Linked DNA regions of Oreochromis niloticus. The protein of the gene in region 2 purifies or fractionates together with the protein of the main gene of each other region. This does not show direct contact. Links are inferred from orthologs where the notes say so. Each region holds a gene or a part of one and is shown on either strand. Other genes may lie near its edges.

Region 1 (7,000 bases), on a different chromosome or scaffold from region 2:
TTAGTGCATAATCTGATTAAGTTACGTAACTAAGGTGATAAATAAGTTCAAAGTTAAGAAATATAAGTAATTCATGCTAAAAACAGTTAAGATGTGTGTGTTTGAAATTTGCTCAGAGTGAGACATCGTTATCACAAGCGATCTTTGTATTGTATGTGCGGAAATGGGAGCGAGGGAGCGCTCTGATCATTCACCTATCTTTGACGTATTTTCTCCGTTAATGTTGTGAAAAGTGCTTCGGCAGTATTAAAACTGTGAATAAGCTCATGTACACGCTAAAAGTGCTCTACACGCTTGTACCTTGGGAAACGTTCGTCTTTGTAAGTATTAATGTGTTCAGAAATGACTTTTATATGTGTTTACATGGAGTGAACTGTGATGCTAATGTAACGCACGTGTTAAGCTAGGCTAATCATTAAGTTTGTCATTAAGATGTGTATTAGCTAGCAATTTATTTTTACCTTTTGTATATTTCAGTTACAAATAAGAAATAGAAAGGAGAAGCCTTGAGAGAGGATAAGGCTTTAAAGGATCTTCATTAAAAGCAAGAAAAGCAAGCCTTGTGTGGAAGATCTCGTCTATTTTGTTCGCTGGCTGTCTAGCTTCACATGGTCACGTGTTGTGAGGGCAGCATAGAGAGAGAATGTGATTCTAATCCTCCTTCCAGGCACTGTAGCGTCTTGAATGCATGGTTGTAAAAATGTTTAAAAAAAAAGAAAAAAAGTACAAAACCAGAGTGCACAGGATCTCTTTCAACCGTTGATTTCCTGCTGTCCCAGTTCCCCAAAGCAACCCAACACAGGCTTTCAGTCTTAATTCAAAGCAACTCTACAATTGTATTGCTGCACAATATGGCACACGGGATTAGCGACCTACCCAAATACACCAGCAAACATATAAAAGAGAAACTGATGTGGGTAAAGCTGCATGGTGCTGCTAAAAAGATGCAGATGGGTCCAGGCATAACACATGGCCTTTGTTTCAGTCCCTGGAAAAATTAGTCTCAGATAAAATCCTACAGCTCCTCGAGTCCAAGTCTAAGCAAGGCGGCGTCATGCAAAAGAAAGAAAGGAAGAAACTCACCTTCACGACACTCTTCTCCTACAAATCCTGGGCAGCATCTCCACTCCAGTGCAGTGACTTGCTTGTAGGTAGTCCTGAATGACGGCCTGATCATAGTCCTGTAGCTGGAACAGACACTCACTGACTTTAGGGACATGTGATGCACAAACACGCATACAACATGAAGTATTTTGCTTCTTGGTACAGTGGACAATAGACTGGGAACCCAAATGGAGGTGGGGGGTAATTATAAAGATCCAAAGAGCCTCGCCAGCTTTGAATTAGGAATGCAATTACGCATAATTTCCTTTCCATTTTATGCAACCTCGTACCTCTAAGAGACATTCAGTGCCCCTTTTTCAATGAAAACTCTTCATTTCACTGTGGGGGTGGTTCTTCAGTCATACATACATAAATATGTGTGCAGAACTTTAACTTTCAGACAATTATTTCTGTTGTTTTGCATTAACAGTATCACTTTATTTGAACATCCTCTTCTGGCAGACATTCTCAACCAGATTAGGGATGTAAGTGATTCACAACAGAGGCTCCATGCCTGAATTTGCCTAAAGCCACTTTTTCACTAAATCTGCCCCAGCCACCAGGCAGCACCTCCCACGTTCATGACTTATTGTAAAAAGCAAAGTTGCATTTGCATCACAGACCAGTGAAGAATCTGACTTGACTGGAGACAAAAGTATACCTGATGACTTTGGAACAGGGTCCGGGCCACCGGCAGTTCTGAAACACTCTCTGCACTGTGGTTTCAGTCCCATTGTGCACCTGGCAAGACACTGTTTTGAAAACAGTGTACTGACACCAGTTCCTAAAAGACGGAATAAAAGAGATGTTATCGTAATTAATACCGAGAGAGAGAAATAGAGCGAGAGAGAGCAGTGATCTCGCACTAGATCCGTTTTTATTTCACAATAAATTGCGTTAAATCGTTACAACCCCTCCAGTGTGTGCGCACCTGAGTTGGGTTCGGGATCCAGTACCCGGCGGTCCCGTGACGCCGCTCTGTTCCGATTTGATGCGCTGCCGCTGCAAAGTGATGCCCGGGAAGTGATAAACAAAGCCCGTTCCCAGCGAAGGACAGACTAAACTTATCCACATGCAGAACGCGCAGAGAAAAGAAAGAGGCATCATTGTTTGATTTATCCCTGAAAGAGATATCCGCGGACGGTTTTCAAGTAAATCCCGAAGTTATAAATCCCTCTTTGGTCGAAGCTCTACAGAAGCGGAATGGAGGAAGAAGAAGAAAAAAAAAGAAAAACTATGGAAATCCCACCATTAACGAGTTGGTCATCCCTTCTCCACGTCGAGAAACAACCGGGCCCCAACTCAAGAGCCCGAAATGAATGGCACACAACCTCTTCCTTTAGAATAATTTGCGTTTCTGACGTTTGACATGGTGCCGGGGACCGAGGAGTCAAATATCCAGCGTGCGTAAAAAGCGCAATGAGTGTGAGGGTTGGAGACGGAGTGCGTAAAAGCGCATCTGGTCTCGATTGAAAACCACGAGCTCTGTCTTCATATAAGATAATGTGAACGATATGGCCACAAGTGATTAGCGAGCGCTAACGCATTTCTTATGGGCTTGTGTTATGTCTTTGATTACCCTTATTGACGCGACAGTGTCGTAGACTACACCACAAGGTCTAAATTCTTAAAGCCTGCATGAGTTGGGGTAACAGATATGATCAATATGCCTGTTCTCATCACTCTATCAAATAAAGCTGCTTTTCTTTTGGAGACTAAACTAAACTCTGTTAGAATCCACAGTTCCAGTACTTTATTACGTAATGAGAAGATTGTGAATGAAGCTCCAAACTGGGTTTTCCTTTATCTGATTACATGTTGTCTTCACATTTAGCTTCTACAAAGAGAATAAAGTCAGTTTCTCGTTTAAAGGGAATAAAAATTTAAAATAGAACATTTTGCACACGTTTGCCGTGGTAGATGCATATTTTAACGCTGTATTCATAACAATGGCATCTAGATCTGAACAAATGTTTGACCTTGCTAAATCCCTACTCTTGAAAACAGAAACACCGGAAAGCAAATTATACATCCACAGAATTCAAAATATAAACAGAACACAAACGAAGTAATTGTCATATCATGACCAAATAACAGAGCCATGAGTCTTTTGACTGCACAGAAAATATGCACAGATGTACTCATTTACTTGCAGGCAAATTACAGAAAATTCCATATATGTAATGAGACTAGTAGACTGTGATGTTTGCAGACGGCAGTATGATCTGTTGTGAGAGCAGGGAGCAGATAAGACTCTGGAGAGGTGGAGGTATGTGCTGGAGAGAAGACCTCCAAAACAGTGAGTAGAAGCAAGAAGGAATATGTGTGTGTGTGTGTGTGTGTGTGTGTGTGTGTGTGTGTGTGTGTGTGAATGAGAGGGAGGCGGGAGGAAATGTGAAAGAGCAAGGAGCAGATGTAGTGAAGGTGGTGTTTAAATCCCTGGGGTCAACCATCCAAATCAACAGACGGGCACAAGAGAAGAGAAAAAGACAGTGCAAGGAGTGTGGAGTGGGTGGAGATGAGTATCAGGAGTGATATGTGACAGAAGATTAGCAGCAAGAGTGGAAGGGGAGGTTTACAAGATGACAGTGAGACATTCTGATCTGAAGGTGTAAAGGTTTTTATTGGGAATGACCAGAATGGATGAGAAATAAGTACACCAGAGGAAAAGCTCAGGTCAGCTCCCAGGAGGGACAGTGGATTTACTGAAAAAAGGATGGAGCAGCTAGCTGGAAGAAAGGCCCGCAAAGATTCGTGCGTGTAGTAAAGGAGGACATCACTACAAACATGACAGAGGAGGATGGTGTGACAGAGGAGGATGCTAGGCTTTAGGTGAGGTGGAGGCAGATGATCCGCTGTGGTGACCGTTTCTATTGGGAATGACCAGAATGGATGAGAAATAAGCAGCTGTCAGAAGGAGATGGAGGACTACACCGGATTTGCAGTGTATGCTTGATTTCACTTTTGATTTTGAATCACTTCCTGCGTGTTAAAATTAGCTGTTTGTTTTTATACTTCCTTATCCCCTAAGATAACTGCGTCATTTGGCTTGAGTAACTTATGACATTTTACATTACCAGGTACTATTTTTTTCTATTTTTCTCATGAAAACTATCTTCCATTTACTTCCAGAGAAATAAACGTGGCATGAAACTGTCATTTACCTCTAGCTGGTTCCAGCACTTTAATGTCTTTTACATACAGTCTGTGGTCCAGACCCATAACGGAGAATGTCCCGAGCGGCGGGCGCCCCCTGCTGGTCGCTGTGGCTCCCTACAGGCTTCAGATGGAAGGAGACGTGTCTCATTTCAGAGCAGCTTGGACGGAGTGATGGAAGCACACAACACCGGTGGAAACGTGGGAGAGAAAGCAGACGTGGAGATGGCAGGATCTCCGTTTGAACCTTACATTGAGTCCCTGCGGCAGCAGCTAGAAGAGCAGGACCCGGTCTTCCTGATCGGAGTTATCGTCGCTTTGGCGGTGGTTGTTATCACCTGTGGTAAGAAGTCATTTTAGCAGCTTAGCAGGCTAGGCCAAGCGTGTAGCTTAGCCCCGTTAGCCGCAAACAGCTGGTCTGTGATAAACCTGATATGTGAACAGGGCTTTTTAACGTTGAAAATACAATAACATGCGCTGTTTTAATAAATTAATATATGCTTTAAATACTTTAGCTTAAGTAGCAAGCTAAGAAGCTAACAACGGCTGTCGGTTTCACGGGAAGTCATTCAAACTTAGAGCTACCACACATTTTTGGCTAACGGACGGCAAGTGCCTTTGATACGTTGAGAATCAGTCACTGAATGTGTACCCTTTGCTTTGTGTTTGCAGTCTTTCTGAAGTACTTCCTCACCAGTAAGACTGTGCGCACCTCCGTGCTGCTGGTGGGGCTGTGTGACTCGGGGAAAACCCTGCTCTTCAGCCGGGTGAGTTAATGCTGAGACAGACCCCGGAAGCCCGCAGGGGGGTGCCCTGCAGCTCATGTTTGTTTGTTTGTTTATTTATTTGTTTGTGTGCTTTTCATGTGTTGGCAGCTGCTGTCTGGAAAGTTCAAGCGGACACAGACCTCCATCACTGACAGCAGTGCTCCATACAAAGCCAAAAATGACAGGGTGAGTTGAGGACTGTTAGTGGACAGAAGTAACTCGTGTGAGGGTGGGATTTACACCTTTGTTTTTCTCCACCCCGTCTGCAGGGCAGCACCTGGACTCTCATAGACCTGCCAGGCCACGACAGCCTCCGTCCTCAGTACCTGGAGAAGTTCAAGTCTGCGGCCAGGTGAGAGCAGGACGATCTGTGAGGTGATGTATGTGTGAACCGCTGACAGGTGAATGGAATAATGCTGCTTCCACAGAATGAAATGTTCTGACCATAGACTGTATAGAAAGGATGGTAAAGCCATTTTTACCCTTGCATGTTTTGGATCATCAAACACACTTTAATGTTAGAAATAACCTGAGTAAATACAAAGTGCAGTAAGTGCAGTATTAACGTCATGATTTCATTGATTAAGGCAGAAAAGCTATCCAAACCTGCCTGCCCCGTGTGAAAAAAGTAATTGTCCCCTTGTTCCATATCACATCTGTCTTATCATCACCCTGTCCTCTTTTTCAGAGCGATTGTGTTTGTAGTGGACAGCGCGATCTTCCAGAAGGAAGTGAGAGACGTGGCCGAGTTCCTGTATGTGTTATTGACGGACGCCGTGATCACCAGAAACGCCCCGGCTCTCGTGGTGGCGTGCAACAAACAAGGTACAGTAACCCTCAGAGAGTTTTTAGAGAGCTGGTGGAAACTTTTTATTTGGTTTGTCTCATGTTTAAATAGAAAGATTCATAGTTTTCTGTCACATAAGGTAATTGCAGTTCACTGAGAGTGTAGTCCCATTCTGAGTCCTAATATCTGAGCCTTCACTGCTTACTCTACATCCAGGTTATTCACTGGTGTTTTTATCTTGTAGACATCACCATGGCAAAATCCGCTAAACTGATTCAGCAGCAGCTGGAAAAGGAGCTGTAAGTAACTCTCTGTTTTGTTGTCTTCTTATACAATAAATATTTTTAGGAGCATCGCAACAGGTTTTGAATCAAAGCTTTATTGTCCATTGCAAAGCAGTGGAACTTTTTCTTAAACGTGGTTTTCAGTGTAAATAAATAAAACCGCAAAAAATAATGAATGCCACATAGCAGGATTCAAGGATTGTTGCAGATATGAATTTTTTGTTTTTCAGTTTTTGTGTAGTAATTTTGCCATTTTATTCATATTTCCGCTGATAAGCCAGTGACTGATCCTGTATTTATTATGAACCTGTTACCGCAGACTGTAGGATGTGTGTGTTTAATGTGGACTGTGATGTGTTACTGCAGCCTACCCCCAGGTATCATAGGGTAAGAGGCGGGATACACCCTGGACAGGTCGCCAGGCCTAACACAGAGGGACAGACAGCCATTCACACTCACATTCGCGCCTATGGCCAATTTAGAATCATCGATTAACCCAACCCCACTAACTGCATGTCTTTGGACTGTGGAAGGAAGGCGGAGTACCCAGAGAGGACCCACACAGACACGGGAGAACATGCAAACTCCACACCATAAATAGCACTGTTGCTTCACAGCTAGAAGGTCCTGAATTCAAATCCATCACCTGGTCAGACCCTTTCTCTGTGGAGTTCGCATGTTCTCCTCATGTTTGCATGGGTTCTTTTTGAGAACTCCGGCTTCCTCCCACAGTCCAAAGACGATATACGTTTACATTTTTTAATGTAGTCTTCATTTTGCATATTATTCAAAATATGACCTCTAAAAATAGATGTATTTCAACAATCAGTGTTGTTCTGGTAAATTTATCAGTATGTGGATTTTGGCCTTACACCAAATCCAAGATGGGAGTTTGGCAGTTT
Region 2 (7,988 bases):
AGATCATTAAGGGATTTAGGTTGTCAGCTCAGAGCTGCAAACAATCAGTCACCTTTATTCTGATCATTAACTTTACACTAAACACGAGTATTGATTAACATGGCTTGTTTAAATAAAGTCATCTCTGTAGTTCACCTGCAGACTTTTTACCCAGAGTTCAGCGGGACCAGCAGGCATCACCAACAACCGATCCAACCTTTCATCCACTCAGATGACATGAGATCAATAACCTGCAGGTAATTTTTTTTTTAATCAGATCAGAGAAACAGAGACACTGATGATCTAATCTCTGTGCTTTAGGACCTGAACCTGCTTGACACCAGAAGTCAAAGGTGTCAGCATCTGACCAATCACATTTAGTGTTGAGGGCGATCTCAGCAGAGTGGCTGATTTTATTACAGAGAAAGACTGAGCTGAAGAACTTAACCCCCACCCCCAACGGCAGTACTTTATTTTTTCCTCAGCAATGCAGAGTGTGTACCGAGCAAGGCTAGCAAAGAGAACTGATACCAAAAAACTATCGATTACTTTCCTCTGCATCAATAACAGCAGCATCATCCTCAACTTTTCAAGCTGACACAGCTCCTCCCATCACTAGCAGCAGGTGGACAGTAGTAAACCTGAAGAAGCACCTTAGAGACCGTCAGTCCATCTTTAGGAGGAATTTAATGAATTCAGAGAAGCTCCTTTTTTATTAAACATTTACCTGCCTGCGACAGGTTAGTGTTAGGATTAGCTCTTCCCCCAACCTAACTGTTATCATAAAGCTAGCAGCTGATATTAAAGTGGGAGTGAGGCAGGAAACAGACAGGCTCAATTTAATGACAGCTAGGGATCAGAATTGTACAGATTCTTGTAAAAGGACCAGTTCACAGTTGTCCAATTCCTTAGAATTCCAGGAGCTATCAATTCCGCTTACGGATTCTTGTACTCACACTACGATCAGCTGATTTCAATTCTTGTGTCAGAGGAAAATAGCAGCTCAGTCTACAGCATGGATACTTTTCTTTTTATTCCACAAAAGGACAAGAGCAAGATGGTAAAGTGGAGACTGCGTGCGGGACAGAAACAACTGCATTATGCTTCTAACACAATGGCTCTTTACAAGCACCTGTGCAGCCAGCATGCTAACGCTAAGCAGGCCAGGAACCCAGAGTGATATATGCAGACCTCAGCGCAGCAGCCACAGCCTGAACTGCAGGTAACAAACTGATGAGCATGTTTATATTGTTAAATCGTAATTATGAGACATTGTGTTTCAGGTCATTTTAAGGAGTAACATGAAAGTAATGTAATGAGTAATGTAGTGAATGACCTTCTCCAGAGAGTAATTAAGTCACACATTACATAGCTTTTAAGGAAATATTCTGTGTAATATGAGTAATAGATTACTTTTCTTGAGTAATGACTCCAGCACTGATCATAACAAAAAGAGGAAATACCGTCAACATGGACAAACATGTGACCCACAGGGTGCAGTTAATGTGCATGGCTAATGTCTTTGATATGGTGGAGACTCTCAAAGCACAGCCAATAAGAATCAATAAGGAATCAAATCAATAAGTGATATCAATAATGGAATCAGAATTGCTAAATTCTTATAAATGTTCATCCCTAGTAACAGCAACAGTAAATAGTGAATCAGCCCATCCTAAAAACACAAGCAGTGAAATGACAGTGACAGGTAAGTAGGAAACAGGAAGTAGCAGGACTGCACCTAAGTGTGCACGTCAGGATCGCTTCTTCATTTCATCTTCTCCCCTCCCAGCATCCAAAATCCAAGCTTCACATTGAGTCCGACCAGCATTTCTTACCACCGTGATTTCACGGGTAAAGGGAGCTGTTTTTAGAGGTTTAGATGTTTTCTGAGGGAATACTTTTAAATTCCTTCATGAAGGAAACTCCTGGAGCTCAGGTGAGCTCAGACTGATGATGATGATGATGATGATGATGATGGATAAGCTGTGGCAGCAGGTCTGCAAAAACTACAGACTGAGATCACCAGGATCTTCTGCATCCTCCAGCTGCAGCCTGACGATCTCCAGGTGAGACACCACAGACCAGCTTATCCCCCCCCACCGCCCCACAGGTACACATAAATACTGATGACTTCAGGAAGAACATCTGAGACATGTGGTTCATCAGCATTGAGTCAGCTGACTCATGTCTCCATTAATCTCACCTGTGAGCCACAGACCTGAGGCCGCTCTCAATGACAGGTGTGAGAGGCTGTTCTTAGTGTGGGAACCTCAGCAGGCGCCCCCCTCCTGGACATCAGAGAGCATGCAGCTCTCCATCTTTATTTACAGTCTGTGAGGTCTCAGGTGAAACAGGAAGTGGCATTTAGTGACTTTTTGCCATAAAGACAGCAGGATTGGGACCATAGGGTCACCATAACAAGACTATGAGGGTCTCAGGGTGTGACATGATCGTTCACCACGTGACCAGCTCAGGATTGCAGGGGACTCCTGGACATTGAAGAACATGCAGCTACCTGTGAGAGCGGGAGGAGCCTCTGAGCTCAGTCTGATCCTCACTAACTTCCTGTCTGAATAAAGTTTAACGAAAATAAATAAAGTTTCTCACTGCTCCACTTGCTGCGCCTCAGGACAGGTGATGTGATCAGCTGATCGTCAGCCCGGAAATGTGGTGTGTGTGTGTGTATTCTGATCAGCTGATCCTGATTGGCAGGCTCAGGTGTGTGGTGGCTGCTTCAAGCAGCTGTCCCCCCGCCCCGCCACCCCGCGTGTGTAATCCATAGACACCCTCACCAGCGGCAGGTGACGCTGACTCACCTGTGCGCGGCCTCTTCGTTGTTTCTCTCGCTTACCCACGAACGCCACAGTTAGCAGTTAGCAGCGCTAGCAGCAGGGTTAGCTCTGCGGCTAAAGGCGGAGTCCGGAGGCAGCCGGACCGGACAGAACCGGGAGCCGTCTCGGTCCCAGCCGACAGGTGAAAGGACGGAGGGTCCGGGTACACGGAACCGGAGTACAAGGTGAGGTCAAAACCCGGAAACTGTGGCTAAACGGCGGCTAACACAAGCTAACGGAGGATAAGAGTCTGACTACTGTCAGAGCGTCACTCAGACCGGAAATACACGTCCTAATACCGGAAGTAGTGAACCACGGCTGGGGTTCTTATGTCCCTGAGCGCTGCCTGGCAGGCGCCTCGTGCTGGTAGGAAGCTTCTGCACGTTTATTAACGGTGAACAGCTGATACGTCACTGGTCCACGAGTGTCACGAGTCCAAAAACTGGGATTGAGCTGATGGAGGAGCCTCGGGTGAGAAGGTGGGGGAAGAATCACAGAAATAAGTTACATGATGTGAGGCTGTGATCAGCTGACCTGCTGTTCTCTGTGGATCTGAGAAGACGTTTCACAGACGTCACACTGAACAGCTGTTCTGCATCAGCCAATCACTGTAGACTAACCAGCACTGAGCTGCCAGTACGGCGTGTTCTTCATATAACAGATCTAATGTCTGATTAAGACCTCTGAACAGCACATGGGAGCTTCTCGTCCTCTCAGAGACCCTGAGTGTGTGTAAATACAGCAGCTGGACTCTCAGACCTGATAAACTGCACAGACACAGTTTGTGTTGCTCATATTTGCTGAGCTGACTGATTACCTCACACTTAAACATTACACAGCTTCAGCTCCTGTCACACGTTTCTATATGTGAATGTTTCAAAGGGACGAGATAAAGACGTGACGAAGCTGATGTCACACGTCATCATTACTTAACAGGTGTCTCCATGCTGTCACTGGAAGCTAAGTGATCAGCTGGTTCACGCATATTACAATCTAATCAGATTTAACCGTTCATTAACTAAAGGTGTTGGGTTGTTCCCACCCACTTTGACAAGGTGAACTCTGCCCATGAGGATGGAGGTCTCTCCATCAAGCAGAACAATAAAACATCTTCATACTTCATACGATATGCATTCACATCGTTCAGCTGACTGAGCAGGTGGAGGAACCCTAAGATCTGTGTGGGGAAAATACTCCGCTCACAATCATTTCTATTGACAGCTCCAGCAGATTTTCTTAGTGTTTGAATTGTTTTACATTTATTGATTTAAAAGGGACAGTGTGTATTAATGAACATATATCAATGCAAATATGCCAGATTTAGCCAGAAGGCTACTTTTCATCTGTAGTCCCTGACAGGTCAGACAAAAATTATAAATAAAAAACTATAAATTTAGCACACCTTCAGACAAAGTACAACAAAGTAGCGCTAACAACAAATCCGTAAAATTATGTACAGGCTGTGATCAGCTGACCGGCTGCTCTTTGTGGATTTACACACCTGAATTCAACCAGATGTGAGCAGATGTTTTGCAGCTGTCTCGGCTGATTTCTACATTAACAGTATACTGAATGCCATCTTTGTACCAGACAGTATAAAGTCACTATAACAATTGAATTCAGTGAACAAATCTAAACATCATCATCTTACATGTAAATTAATCTCTGCTACATGCTGCTGAACACTGATCACCACAGCACCATAGCAAAGTGCACCACAGCAAAGTGCTTTACTGTGAATTCACCACTGTATTGCAAAGTAACCTGTTTATCCTACACAAAACTCCCCAGAATTGTCAGAAAACATTTGAATAACACAAAATTAGTATACTTAGTTTGTTTCACAGGAAGTTTCACAAAATGAAAATACATAATTTATAAAAACACATCAAAAACAATATGTGATTAAACACGAGGACTTGCATGTAAGCTTTATATGAGCAGATCTTTAAATCTAACCTCTTTTTTTTCCTCTCCTCTCCTGTCCTGTCTTTTTTATCTTTCTCCGTCTCTGAGTGAAGTTAGTGTCTCTTGGAAATGAGATTTTTAATCTCAATGAGATTTTTTACCTGGATAAATAAGGGACTAATAATACTTAATAATGTGGCCAATGATTCATCAGTTTTTCCTGAAATAGACTGAAGATGTGAAATCCTCAAACCTGAGATATTCATTACTCTCGTCATCTTTCATCATCATCCTCAGACATCAGAAACAGGGCAGGTGTTTAACTGTCAGAATGAAAACTCTTTTTTAACTTTATTCTAGGTCAGAAACTCTGAGGTTTCACATCAAAGTTCATTCAAATTTAAATTTTATTTTTCACATACACAATCATACACAGTACGACATGAAGTGAAATCCTTATTGCTGTGCAATTCCTGACCAAATAGAAGAACAAAACTAAAGAAATTAGCAGTGTGCAGATTGACAGTGAACAGTCAAAAATACAGTAATTGAGATATATTATTGAAGTTAATTATATTATTTCAGATGAAGCTTCACAATCAGGTGAGATTACCAGGAGCCAAAAAGACACAGGAACTGAAAGCTTCAGTCTCCACACTCATCACAGTCAGTCCTGATAAGCAAACCTGATCTACTTATGCTGCTGTAGACTCATTCTCTCTGTACGTTTCTGCAGGTGGGCCTCGTGGTTTCTGACTCCACCCCTTGTCCTTTACACTCTTTACGGTCTGCTGTGAGCTGACGGTGTGTAAATGAAGTTTTATTGAATGACATCACAGCATGTGTTCTTATCAGACTCAACTCATAGTGAATCACTGATCACTGATCAATTCCTCCCTGGACGGAAGCTGTGTTTCCACTGTCAGACTGAAGGGGGCGCCATCTGTCAGCAGAAAACCTGATCAGGACACACACACACATTTTCCCAGTCTCTGTTGCCTTGGTAACACCCTGGCTGCTGGATGGCCTCCAGGAAATGAAGAGTGAGATGAGTGGGAGGGAGGTGTGTGTGTGTGTGTGTGTGTGTGTGTGTGTGTGTGTGTGTGTTCATCCTGGTTTGATTCTAGTCGGGGTTTTTGAACTGAGGTCCTGCAAAGACAAAATTTGTGATGAACTTCTGCATCCAGCAGGGGGCGCCTAAGCCATCCACAGAGAGGTGAGGAAATGCATGCAGGGTTGAGCAAGTGGAGATTAGTGTCAGGGTGATTCATGATAGAAGGATAGCAGCAAGACTGAAAGGGAAGGTTTAAAGATGGCGGTGAGACCTGCTGTGATGAACAGGATCAGAAATGAGTCCATCAGACAGACGGCTCAAAGTCAGAAAGGCTGAGAGAGGCATGCATGTGCAGAGGAAGGAGGGTGAAAGATGAAGATGGAGCTTCAGGGAGGAGGAGAAGAGAAAGAGCTCAGAGGTTCATGGATGTAGTGAAGGCCATGCAGAGGGTCCGTGTGACAGGAGGAGATGGAGGCATGGGCGAGTGTGGGGACTGCTAAAGGAGGGAGTGATGTGTGTTGGATCTTATCTCAACATCACTGTTGCCATGGAAACTGCATAATGAGCTGAAGGTGCAGGACATTAGGCAGCTTGTTTGCGTGTGTGATTGGTTCTGCTATTGATCCTTGAACCTCTGTGAGACAGATGTGGTCACCTGACTTACCTGAGCTGGACATCGGTGTCTCCAACCTGCTCAGTCCTAATGAAGCTGTTGATAGGTGGAGGACTGACAGCACCTATAATCCCCCTGTAACCCTGAGGCCCCTCCCTGGGCAACTTAACCACCATCTGCACCCTAACCTGTGTGATCTTAATGACTCGTATGATGATGGGCTGGGGCAATGCTGGTATTCGGCCACACAAATGTAACTGCATGCAATTCTGTAAAAACCAACAGCTGTTGGGTTTTAAGAAAATTCCAGGTTTTCCAGGCTGGCCATGACGCTGCACTATGGTGACAGGAAACAGCTGCCACATACAAAGCTGTACCTGCTGGAGGTTGAACACCCACGACTCCCCATCAGCAATCTGCCTCAGAAGAGCTGAAACATGTTTAAAAGCCCAGCTGGTTCAGCTCAGCACTTTAACTAATAATCATCAATAACTGATTGATACTCTGATCAGTGATGATGCAGTTTCATGTCTCTTTTCTTTCCCCCACACTGTAAATAAAGACGGATGCAGATCGACATATTCTCTCTAACACCCAACAGGGGGCGACTGCTCTCCTGACCTCTGAGATCAGTTTCAGCTTTTTTGTTTGAGTATAGCATGAGCCGAGGTACAAAACGCCATTGTCCTGGACTTGCTGGTCAGGTGCTTTCACTGTGATGAAGGCTGAGAACCAGAGAGAGCATCCTTTTCTTGTTTAGGCTTTGAAAACATGAAGAAGGTCCTGCTGAGAGTCTGTGACAATTCGAAGGGTCGAGTCATGATGGCAGCTCTGAGCGCGCCATCATAATTTATGATGAACAACTCAGGAGCGCCAAAACCACCGTCATCCTCACGCTGATGCTGAAGATGTTCTGATAATAGTGAGATGTTGAATGAGCTGTACGTCCCACCCAGTTGAGCTGAGATTGGTTGGACTGGAGGTTCTTAATAGTGTCTCAAGGCAGTGCTCTGGCCTGTAAATGCCTTGCTGGTCTCTCAGCACTAATTGGTCAGTTTAAGCAAACTCCCCATGGGACCAAAACCTCCAGGAAGCTCAAATGATGGAGAGACTGAGAGAGGATGAAAGAGGAAATTAACGAGTTGACGAAGAGTCTGAGGGATGTCTTCATCACATCATCTGTGGAAAAGTTAGTGCAGCACAGAATCGGCTTCATCCTCTGCATAACAGGAAACAACTGGGATTAACAGTTATTACTGAGAGCCAAGAAGGCATCATTGTAAGAAAAGAGGAAGACACAGTGATGAAGAACAAGCTTTAATTGGAACCACAGAGCATGCACCTGAAACAGCTTCTTCAGCTCTTTTTATAGCAGCACTTTATACACTCATATGATGCTTCATGGTTTTACATTCAGATGAGAGCGCGCCGATTTAGAAACATCACATGCAACAACACATGGACACGGGAACAGCAGGACGGACCGCCTCGTATTTACAGACCGATTGTTTCAGGATGTTATTCTATAACATGTTATCCTATCATCCTCAAACCAGCATTTACATGATGGAATGAATCAGCATGCGTGATGTCATCAAGCAGC
Region 3 (7,292 bases), on a different chromosome or scaffold from region 2:
TACGGAGCCGTGACCTGTGAACATGTCAAAGCAGCAGCTCTGACCAATCACATTACAGAAACAGTCTGAGGTCGTCACATGACTTCTTTCATTCTGAGCTTTTTGTATCCAACTTTATTTTGTAACATTACACACTTCCTGCTACACAGAGGGTCAAAGGTCAAACATAAGAGCCCATAAAATCTTCACCCTGGAAATGGACTCCATTATCAGCTGATCCTGGATGGTTAGAGAGTGCTTAGCAACAACCTGTCGCTAGGGAAAAATCTGTACTCCCCAACGCTGACCGCCCAGCCAATCAGGTGATGCCAACCAGCCATGTGACTGCAGCAGCTCCACCCTCAGAATCACCTGTACAGGTGTGACACACACACTCAGACACCACGGGATAAATTAAAGGTTTAATAGATTTTCTCCAAAAGCTGAAACTCTCTCTCTCTCTCTCTCACACACACACACACACACACACACACACACACACACACAGACAGGTGAGGCAGACAGGTGTGTCTGTGCCTCCCACAGAAATCAAAGAGGCACGCTGATGATGAAGATAAACGTGTGATCTAATGATAAGAGTCTCTGTCCTCACTGCGTCTCCATGGCAACAGAAACAAACAATAACTGCAGGTAGCGTCTCTTCCCGCTGCCGGCCCATGGGAGGCTAGCGGCGGTAGACGCCAAAGGCCACCAGGCTGAGGAGGATGGTGACCCCGACCAGCGAGGCGGTGGCGGGGGCGGTGAAGAACTGGCGATACTGGATCTGACAGTACCACAGCACGGAGAGCATGAGCACGAGCAGCGGGACCATCAGGCTGCCCACGTTCAGCGCCACGCGCACCTGGTCTCCCGCCCGCTGGCCCCCTGCCGCCCCCCGCGCCGCGTGCTGCGAGATGTGGCAGTGCAGCACGCAGTTATGGGCGAGGTTCAGCGAGGCGAGCGTCCGCGCGTCGTCCTGCAGCAGCTGGCCCTGATAGATGAGACGCACCTGATGCTCCTGCCCCGCAAAGTAGGTCCTGCAGGGTCAGAGGTCAGAGGTCAGCAAACGGGTCCGGGGGCACAGCCGGGAGGAGGAGCTTCAGGTTTGCCGAAACTCCTCCTCTACTATGCAGTAGTGTAGTGTATGGAGTATTACATGCAGCACTCGTACCTCTTAATGTACCCGACGGTGTCCTGTGGTTGGACCTGCGCCGTCCTCTCTGTGTCGTTGAGGAACTTGAGTCTGACCACCATGTTCCGCTGAGACACCGCGGCCTCTCCGTCTCCTCCTCTGCGCCTCACCCCGTCTCCTCCCACCTGTCCATCCTCCAGTGTGGTGGGAGCCTCTGTCAGGAAGCTGTCGTTCACAGAGGAGGAAGGTGAGGACGAGGACATGGAGAAGGTGGAGGGTGAGGATGGTGGGTAGGGGGACGAGGAGGTGGCGGTGGATGAAAAGGGCGTGTCCTGCTGGGTTTGCCCGGGCCTCTGTAAAGGGGAGGAGCCTGTGAACAGGTGTTCAGGGGGCTCGGATGTGCGGGTGGAGATCCAGGCGAGCAGCAGAACTGTCAGCAGCAGCAGAGTGGCGAACAGCAACGTCACCTCATCGCCGACACCTTCGATCAGCGCCATCGCCGCCAAGGTCAGCACAGCTCACACACCTGTAGGGAGAGGGCAGAGCTTAGCTTCAGGTATATACACACACTTCTTGTTTACCTGAGAACCCCTCACCTGTCCTTTCACTCCAGCATGACTGAAGCTTTTTATGAAATAGGGAAAGAAAGAAAACGCCCCTTTAGGGGCAGGTGTCCCACAGACGGAGCTCCAACGTCACACGACAGTATCGCAGTACTGTGTGGTGATAAATACAATACTGTGAGAGTACTACGAGCAGGTGAGCTCCTCTCTCAGGTCGATAGAGTTACTTCCTAACTCATAGCGAGCTGACGGCTCAGACACACGAGGGAAACCAACGTCCGAACATCTGCAGGACACCTGTAGCTGCCGGAAGCTGAACCTCACAGTGTCGCCTGATGGGAGGTTATCGACGGCTCCCAAACTGGATCCATGTAATCGCCATCAGACGACATCGGACAGGTACGGCGGGTTTTAGTAAAATCACCTTATCTCATTTGATAAAACACAAACTGATCAGCTGTGAGGTCGTGACCTGCAGATGCAGATCATCTGTACGTTTGTCAGAATATGGTAACGATAAAATCCCAGTAAACCTCAAAGTTCCGCCTCTACGTTACACCTGGGCCCAGTAAAGTCCAATCAGAGCAAGCGTCCTGTCCCCGCTCTACACACACACGCACACACACACACACACACGCACACACACACACACACACACACACACACACGCACACGCACACGCACACGCACGCGCACACACACACACACACACACACACCACAGGGTGACCTCTGGGACTCTATCTTGGGGAAACACACTCAGAGGTAAAAGCTCCCCTGGCGGATCGCACGTCACTTCCTGCGTGGCTGTCCAACCAGCGGGATGAAAAGCCCTTACACTTGTCCCCATACAACGCTAACTTCCGGTTTCCTGTGTGCCGTCAGCAGGTATCGATCCATGATTGATCCGGTTGTTAATCAAGTGTATTTTTGACGCCCTCTGCTCAGGTATTTGCTCACCTCTTTCCGCGGCCTCGTCACGTCACCAGTTGTTGGTCGCGTTTCACCGGAAGATCCGGGCATTTGAGCCACCCGGGCTCACCTGGATCAGCTCCGCCAGTCCCGCTAAAGTCCGCGCTAACAGCTACCCGCTGCGCTAAGATACGCGCTAACAGCTCCCGCTCCCAGGGAGCCTCTGACCCACAGTCTGAGTCTGCGCAGAGGCGCGAGGAGAGAGGAGACGACGGTCACTCACGTTCAGTCCAGGAGCTTCATGTCCTCCGCGTTAGCCTGCAGGCTAACAGCTGCATCACTTCCTGCTGCCGCTTCTTCTACTGCTGTGCTCCGCGGCGGACCCAGCGGAGGCTTCTTCTTCTCTATATTGCTTATTGGCGGTTGGCAAACAGCAAAATGGTGCATTACCGCCACCCACTGGTGTGGAGTGTGAACTGAATGTCAAAAATGAATCAAATCCTCCCAAACAAACGAGTCTGCCTTAAAAAACAAAATATGACCTGATCACTTCTCCAGTTCTTACGAAATAAATCAGCCAAGTCCAGTTTCACTTTCATCTCACCGAGCATCATATTTCTGACAATGCACTAAAACATGTCCTATTGTTTCTTCTTCTCTGTTGCAGTCACACTCCCCTGTGCAGTGCTTTCTCATTAAAAACAATGTGCTATTCAAACCAGCATGCCCAAATCTGAGTCAGGATATAGCTGTCTCCTCTCTCCTGTTCCTGTGCTTCTCGTTTCTCCTGTTTTTTCTTTGGTTTCGTAAAACCATCGCCCCCCCAGTGGAGGTTGCGCATGCGTACACCTGCTGGTCGCGATTACCGTAGCGTCTCCTTATGACGTAACCAGACAAAAGAAACAAGCAGAGTGTAACAGTTTCAAATGGTACAGAACAAAAAGTAAAGAAGAAGAAACGTGTTCGAGATCAGATCCAAATAAAGTTTTTAATAAATGAAACAAAACGAAAAGTGACATATTAGACTAAAGCCCTCTGTAACAGCAGATCAGACAGCAGAAGAAGAAAGGGGACCATAATAAATCATTACTGCAGGTTTACAGCTTCCAACAGAGAGTGTGGATTATGTGTACTCGTGGCCAGGAACGACCAGGAACGACAGCTGACACACAGGAAGTCTGACTGGTGCTCAACCGAGCCAGATTATCCAATCAGCATCACCTGTGTGAAGCTGGTGTGTGACAGCCTGAGGTACTGAGAAGGAACCCTGACCATGACCTGCTGCGACTTTTCAAAATAAGAGCATGAAGCTGTTGGTGATTAAGCTTTAGGAGTGCCTGTGTGTGTTTGTGTGTGAGCAGACCAGCAGATTTTACAGCATGAGGTTCACTTCACCCACAGAAACATGTTCAAACACTCTAAATACAAACATATATTAAAATGCATGAATATAATGCACTCATTTTATTTACAGTCACTTTATTAGGTGCACCTGTTCAACTCAGATATCTGACCAGCCAATCACAGGGTAGCAGCAAAGTGATGAAGAGGAGCTGCTGAGGTTCAAATGAAGCGTCAGAATGATGATTTAGGAGACTGGTGTGTCCAGACCCCAGTGAGCGTTTCAGGAGGAGGTGTACCTAATAAAGTGGCTGTGAGTGTAAATTCTGCACAAAGTCCTGTGAAATATGTGAGTTTCAACTTTGTGGGTCCGCTCAATCAATCAGTTGATCGGTCAGTGAACCGATCGATCATCTGCAGTGTTTCCTCTTCAGCATGTTGGGGCTCTGACAGCTGCAGAAACCTGATCAGCTGATTGGTGGCTCATCCTGGGGTGTCCACGTGCACAGCCTGACCTTTCATTGTTAGAGAAGCTGCTGCACGCGCTGTTAGTCTGGATGATGTCATTACCCCAACACTTTCCCTTTAACGTGCTGAACATCCGGGCAGCAGGGGGCAGCAGTGGCGCTCAGGGGCCACTGGCTGTGTTTGTGAGGGCTCCGAAGTCCACCAGAACCCGGACCCCAGCTCAGACCTCTGAGGGTCCCACAGGTGAGGCCCAGTGCACCTGTCCTCACCTCAGGTGGCAGGGTCCTCCGAGTTTACTCCAGAATTAAAGTCACAAGAACTCAAAATAAAGGCTGTTTTTATTCTAAATAACAAACTTTATTAGGACAAACAGCAGAAACACCTCACCCCACCTGCGGCAGGTGCGGAGTCAGATGATGACCTCACTGATCACGGGGACTCCGCTGCTCTTAGCGGGCTCCTCTGCCGCCTCTCAGCCCCCGATCAGCATCGCGCCGGGCGGTGGAGGGAGCCCCTTCGGCTTCCTCCCAGAGCATCCGCTGTGCTCCGCGGGCCCCCGGCCGCATCTCTGCCGGCGGTCCCCGGGCCTCCCGCCTGTTCAGCATCTGGACCCAGAGAGGGCTCGGAGTACGCAGTCGCAGTTGGGTTTGAGTGAAAACGGCGTAAATGTAAAATAGCGTCCGTTAAAGAGTGCGTGTGCGGCGGCTCCAGCGGGGCTGGCTGCCGCTGTGGCCGCTGTCTCTGGTTTCATCCTCCGCCTTTGTCCTCATGTTTTCCCCCGGAGTTCCTCCCCCTGCGGCGCTGGGCGGAGTTTCATACCGGACTAGACGCTCCTTTTGTCGGATTCGTTTCGACCTGACTCCCCGGGGTTTACGGCTGAAAAAACCACACTTCCACGGTCCCGAAAGCAGCCGAACCGGCACGGTGCCGTGCAGTATCACCCCGGCTTTCTGTCCGAACCAGCAGGTAAACGCCAGGTTCCGATTTTAAACGCATTTCTGGGTTTTTCGGCTCGCTCGTCCCCGAGTCGCCACAACATTCATGGCGGCTTTGCAGCGGAGGCTTGTGGGGCAGCTGCAGCCCGTCCCGCCCGCACAAAGCTCTGGTTCTGCGGGTAAAGGGTTCGGGGGGCTCGGGGGTTCTGGTGATCCTGCACCGCGGGTAGACTCGACCTCGACCTTTTTACGTGTCATCATTTTGTCGGATTAAAGCCCTTAAACGCTCCACGTGTGCCGTCCGGAGACTTTCGCTCGGATCTTTTATCCGGTTTCATCCGGTTTGTTCCGGTTTGGTCTCCGCGTCGCTCCGACACGTTTCACCGGGAAACCTTCGCGCTCGGTTCTGCGGTTCGTGCCAGCGGAAGCTACGTGCTGACTCCTGCCGGAGGATGGACGCCATTACCGGGCAGCTGGAAGCTGGCGGCCCGGAGACCTTACCGGGCCCGAGCCCAGCTCCCCGGCCGTCCGGACCCAGAACCCGGGGACCGTCTGCAGAACGGCACCGGGACCTGTGTGTGTGAGAGATCAGCTCCTGTCTGAGAATCGATCATCAGCAATGTCACCAAACACACTGTTTCCGGTTACCTCTGTGGTTACACTGGTGTGGTGATGTCACGTGAGTTTAATGCTCAGCCAGGTGAGAACAGTTGAGGTGCACGTCAGTGTGAGGTCATTCAAACAATGGCTGTGGTGCACACAGGTGGGCACCCTCACAGTGAAGCTGCTGCAAGTGAAACATTCTGATTGGCTATTCTGTGCCCCGTAGCTGCTGCTGTGACTGTGAGTGGGTGTGCACTCTGATCACACCTGTGCAGGTAGCTACAGACCCCTCAATCATCATTTTTGTCCAGTGGCGAAGGATCAAAATTCGCCATGGTGCCACAGACACGTGAACTCCGAAGCACAGCTGCATCTTCAGATGAATCTGACTAAAGGTGAAGGTGCCCAGGTGTGGGGGCGTGGCTTTAGGAACGACCCAAAGTTCATACACAGAGCTCAGTGTGCATTGACGTTTCTATCACTGAAGGTGGCGCTCTGGAGCCTTTCTGCACGTGGAGCATCCTCACTGCGTGTGCAGAATCTCGTTTCTGAGCACGCTCAGATTGATTTCTGTAAATGAAAAGAAGCCTTCAGGAAGTTCACACACTGTTGGGCCGCCATGGTGTGAGCTGCAAGCTGATTGGGCAGTGAGAGGATGAAGGTGTTAAAGTGTGGTGATGGCCAGCTGTCATCCTCTATAAATACACCTGGTACATTCTACACAGTAACAGGTGATGTCACTGACCTTCAACGTGTCACTGTTAGCCTACAGTGGGGCAGCAGGGATCAGGTGACGTGTCAGGTGATCAGGCGACATATTCTGCTCAGTGACTCACGCTCCACTTACTTCTAGCTTCTCACAGGAGAGTGACCTGCCACTGAAAGCAGCCAGCCTCCTCTGAGCTATGGAGAGCCAAACGTGCCAAAACGCTGCGCAGGTCAGCAGGGGGCGCCGTAAAAACATGGTCACATTAAATCCAGCCCCCTTTGGTCCTGCAGCCTTTCTCACCTGACATTGATTTAAAACACCTACATGCTGCTACTGCGCGCTGATTGGTCCTTCAGTGATTTATGACAGGGCGTCCTCTGTCACGGCGCCCGTTTCCAGCAGTCGGGCTGGTTTCACTCGGCTAAAGGATGAGCTCGAGAGCGCCCCCTGTGGAGCCGGAACAGCGCATTGGATCAGGTGTTGTTGGACTCGGTGCTGCCCCACACAGGCAGAAACAGGAAGTACACGAGCCGAGCCGTACTGATGGTCACGTGAGCACTTCCTGCTGCAGTAAACCTGTTTGATTTTGTGTTTCAGAGGGAGGGGCGGAGCCTCCTCCGTCGGTCACTGCAGGATGAACGGCAGCAGCAG

What was found. Proteins that work in one complex are often made in the same cells at the same time.
Region 1: the proteins of tmem259 (region 2) and srprb purify together in Homo sapiens (affinity purification with mass spectrometry; 3 studies listed by BioGRID and IntAct, counting the BioPlex papers as one, with this or other methods). This does not show direct contact. The link is inferred for Oreochromis niloticus from reciprocal best matches to the Homo sapiens genes TMEM259 and SRPRB.
Region 3: the proteins of tmem259 (region 2) and tmub1 purify together in Homo sapiens (affinity purification with mass spectrometry; 3 studies listed by BioGRID, with this or other methods). This does not show direct contact. The link is inferred for Oreochromis niloticus from reciprocal best matches to the Homo sapiens genes TMEM259 and TMUB1.

What each region holds. Positions count from the first base shown.
Region 1 is NC_031979.2:23,283,505-23,290,504, forward strand, and holds the start of srprb (signal recognition particle receptor subunit beta), read left to right. Parts: upstream 1-3,981; 5' UTR 3,982-3,996; coding exon 3,997-4,050; intron 4,051-4,149; exon of another isoform or gene 4,150-4,164; coding exon of another isoform or gene 4,165-4,184; intron 4,185-4,236; coding exon 4,237-4,603; intron 4,604-4,932; coding exon 4,933-5,027; intron 5,028-5,135; coding exon 5,136-5,213; intron 5,214-5,296; coding exon 5,297-5,379; intron 5,380-5,715; coding exon 5,716-5,852; intron 5,853-6,058; coding exon 6,059-6,113; intron 6,114-7,000. Other genes in the region: col26a1 (collagen alpha-1(XXVI) chain), read right to left, coding at 1,084-1,187, 1,766-1,888, 2,036-2,211. UniProt on the Homo sapiens protein: Component of the signal recognition particle (SRP) complex receptor (SR). Ensures, in conjunction with the SRP complex, the correct targeting of the nascent secretory proteins to the endoplasmic reticulum membrane system.
Region 2 is NC_031986.2:36,032,707-36,040,694, reverse strand, and holds the start of tmem259 (membralin), read right to left. Parts: upstream 3,096-7,988; 5' UTR 2,796-3,095; intron 1-2,795. UniProt on the Homo sapiens protein: May have a role in the ERAD pathway required for clearance of misfolded proteins in the endoplasmic reticulum (ER). Promotes survival of motor neurons, probably by protecting against ER stress.
Region 3 is NC_031982.2:34,496,573-34,503,864, forward strand, and holds tmub1 (transmembrane and ubiquitin-like domain-containing protein 1), read right to left. Parts: upstream 3,020-7,292; 5' UTR 2,869-3,019; exon of another isoform or gene 2,634-2,868; intron 1,638-2,633; 5' UTR 1,609-1,637; coding exon 1,151-1,608; intron 1,017-1,150; coding exon 665-1,016; 3' UTR 84-664; downstream 1-83. Other genes in the region: ubtfl (upstream binding transcription factor, like), read left to right, coding at 7,276-7,292. UniProt on the Homo sapiens protein: Involved in sterol-regulated ubiquitination and degradation of HMG-CoA reductase HMGCR. Involved in positive regulation of AMPA-selective glutamate receptor GRIA2 recycling to the cell surface.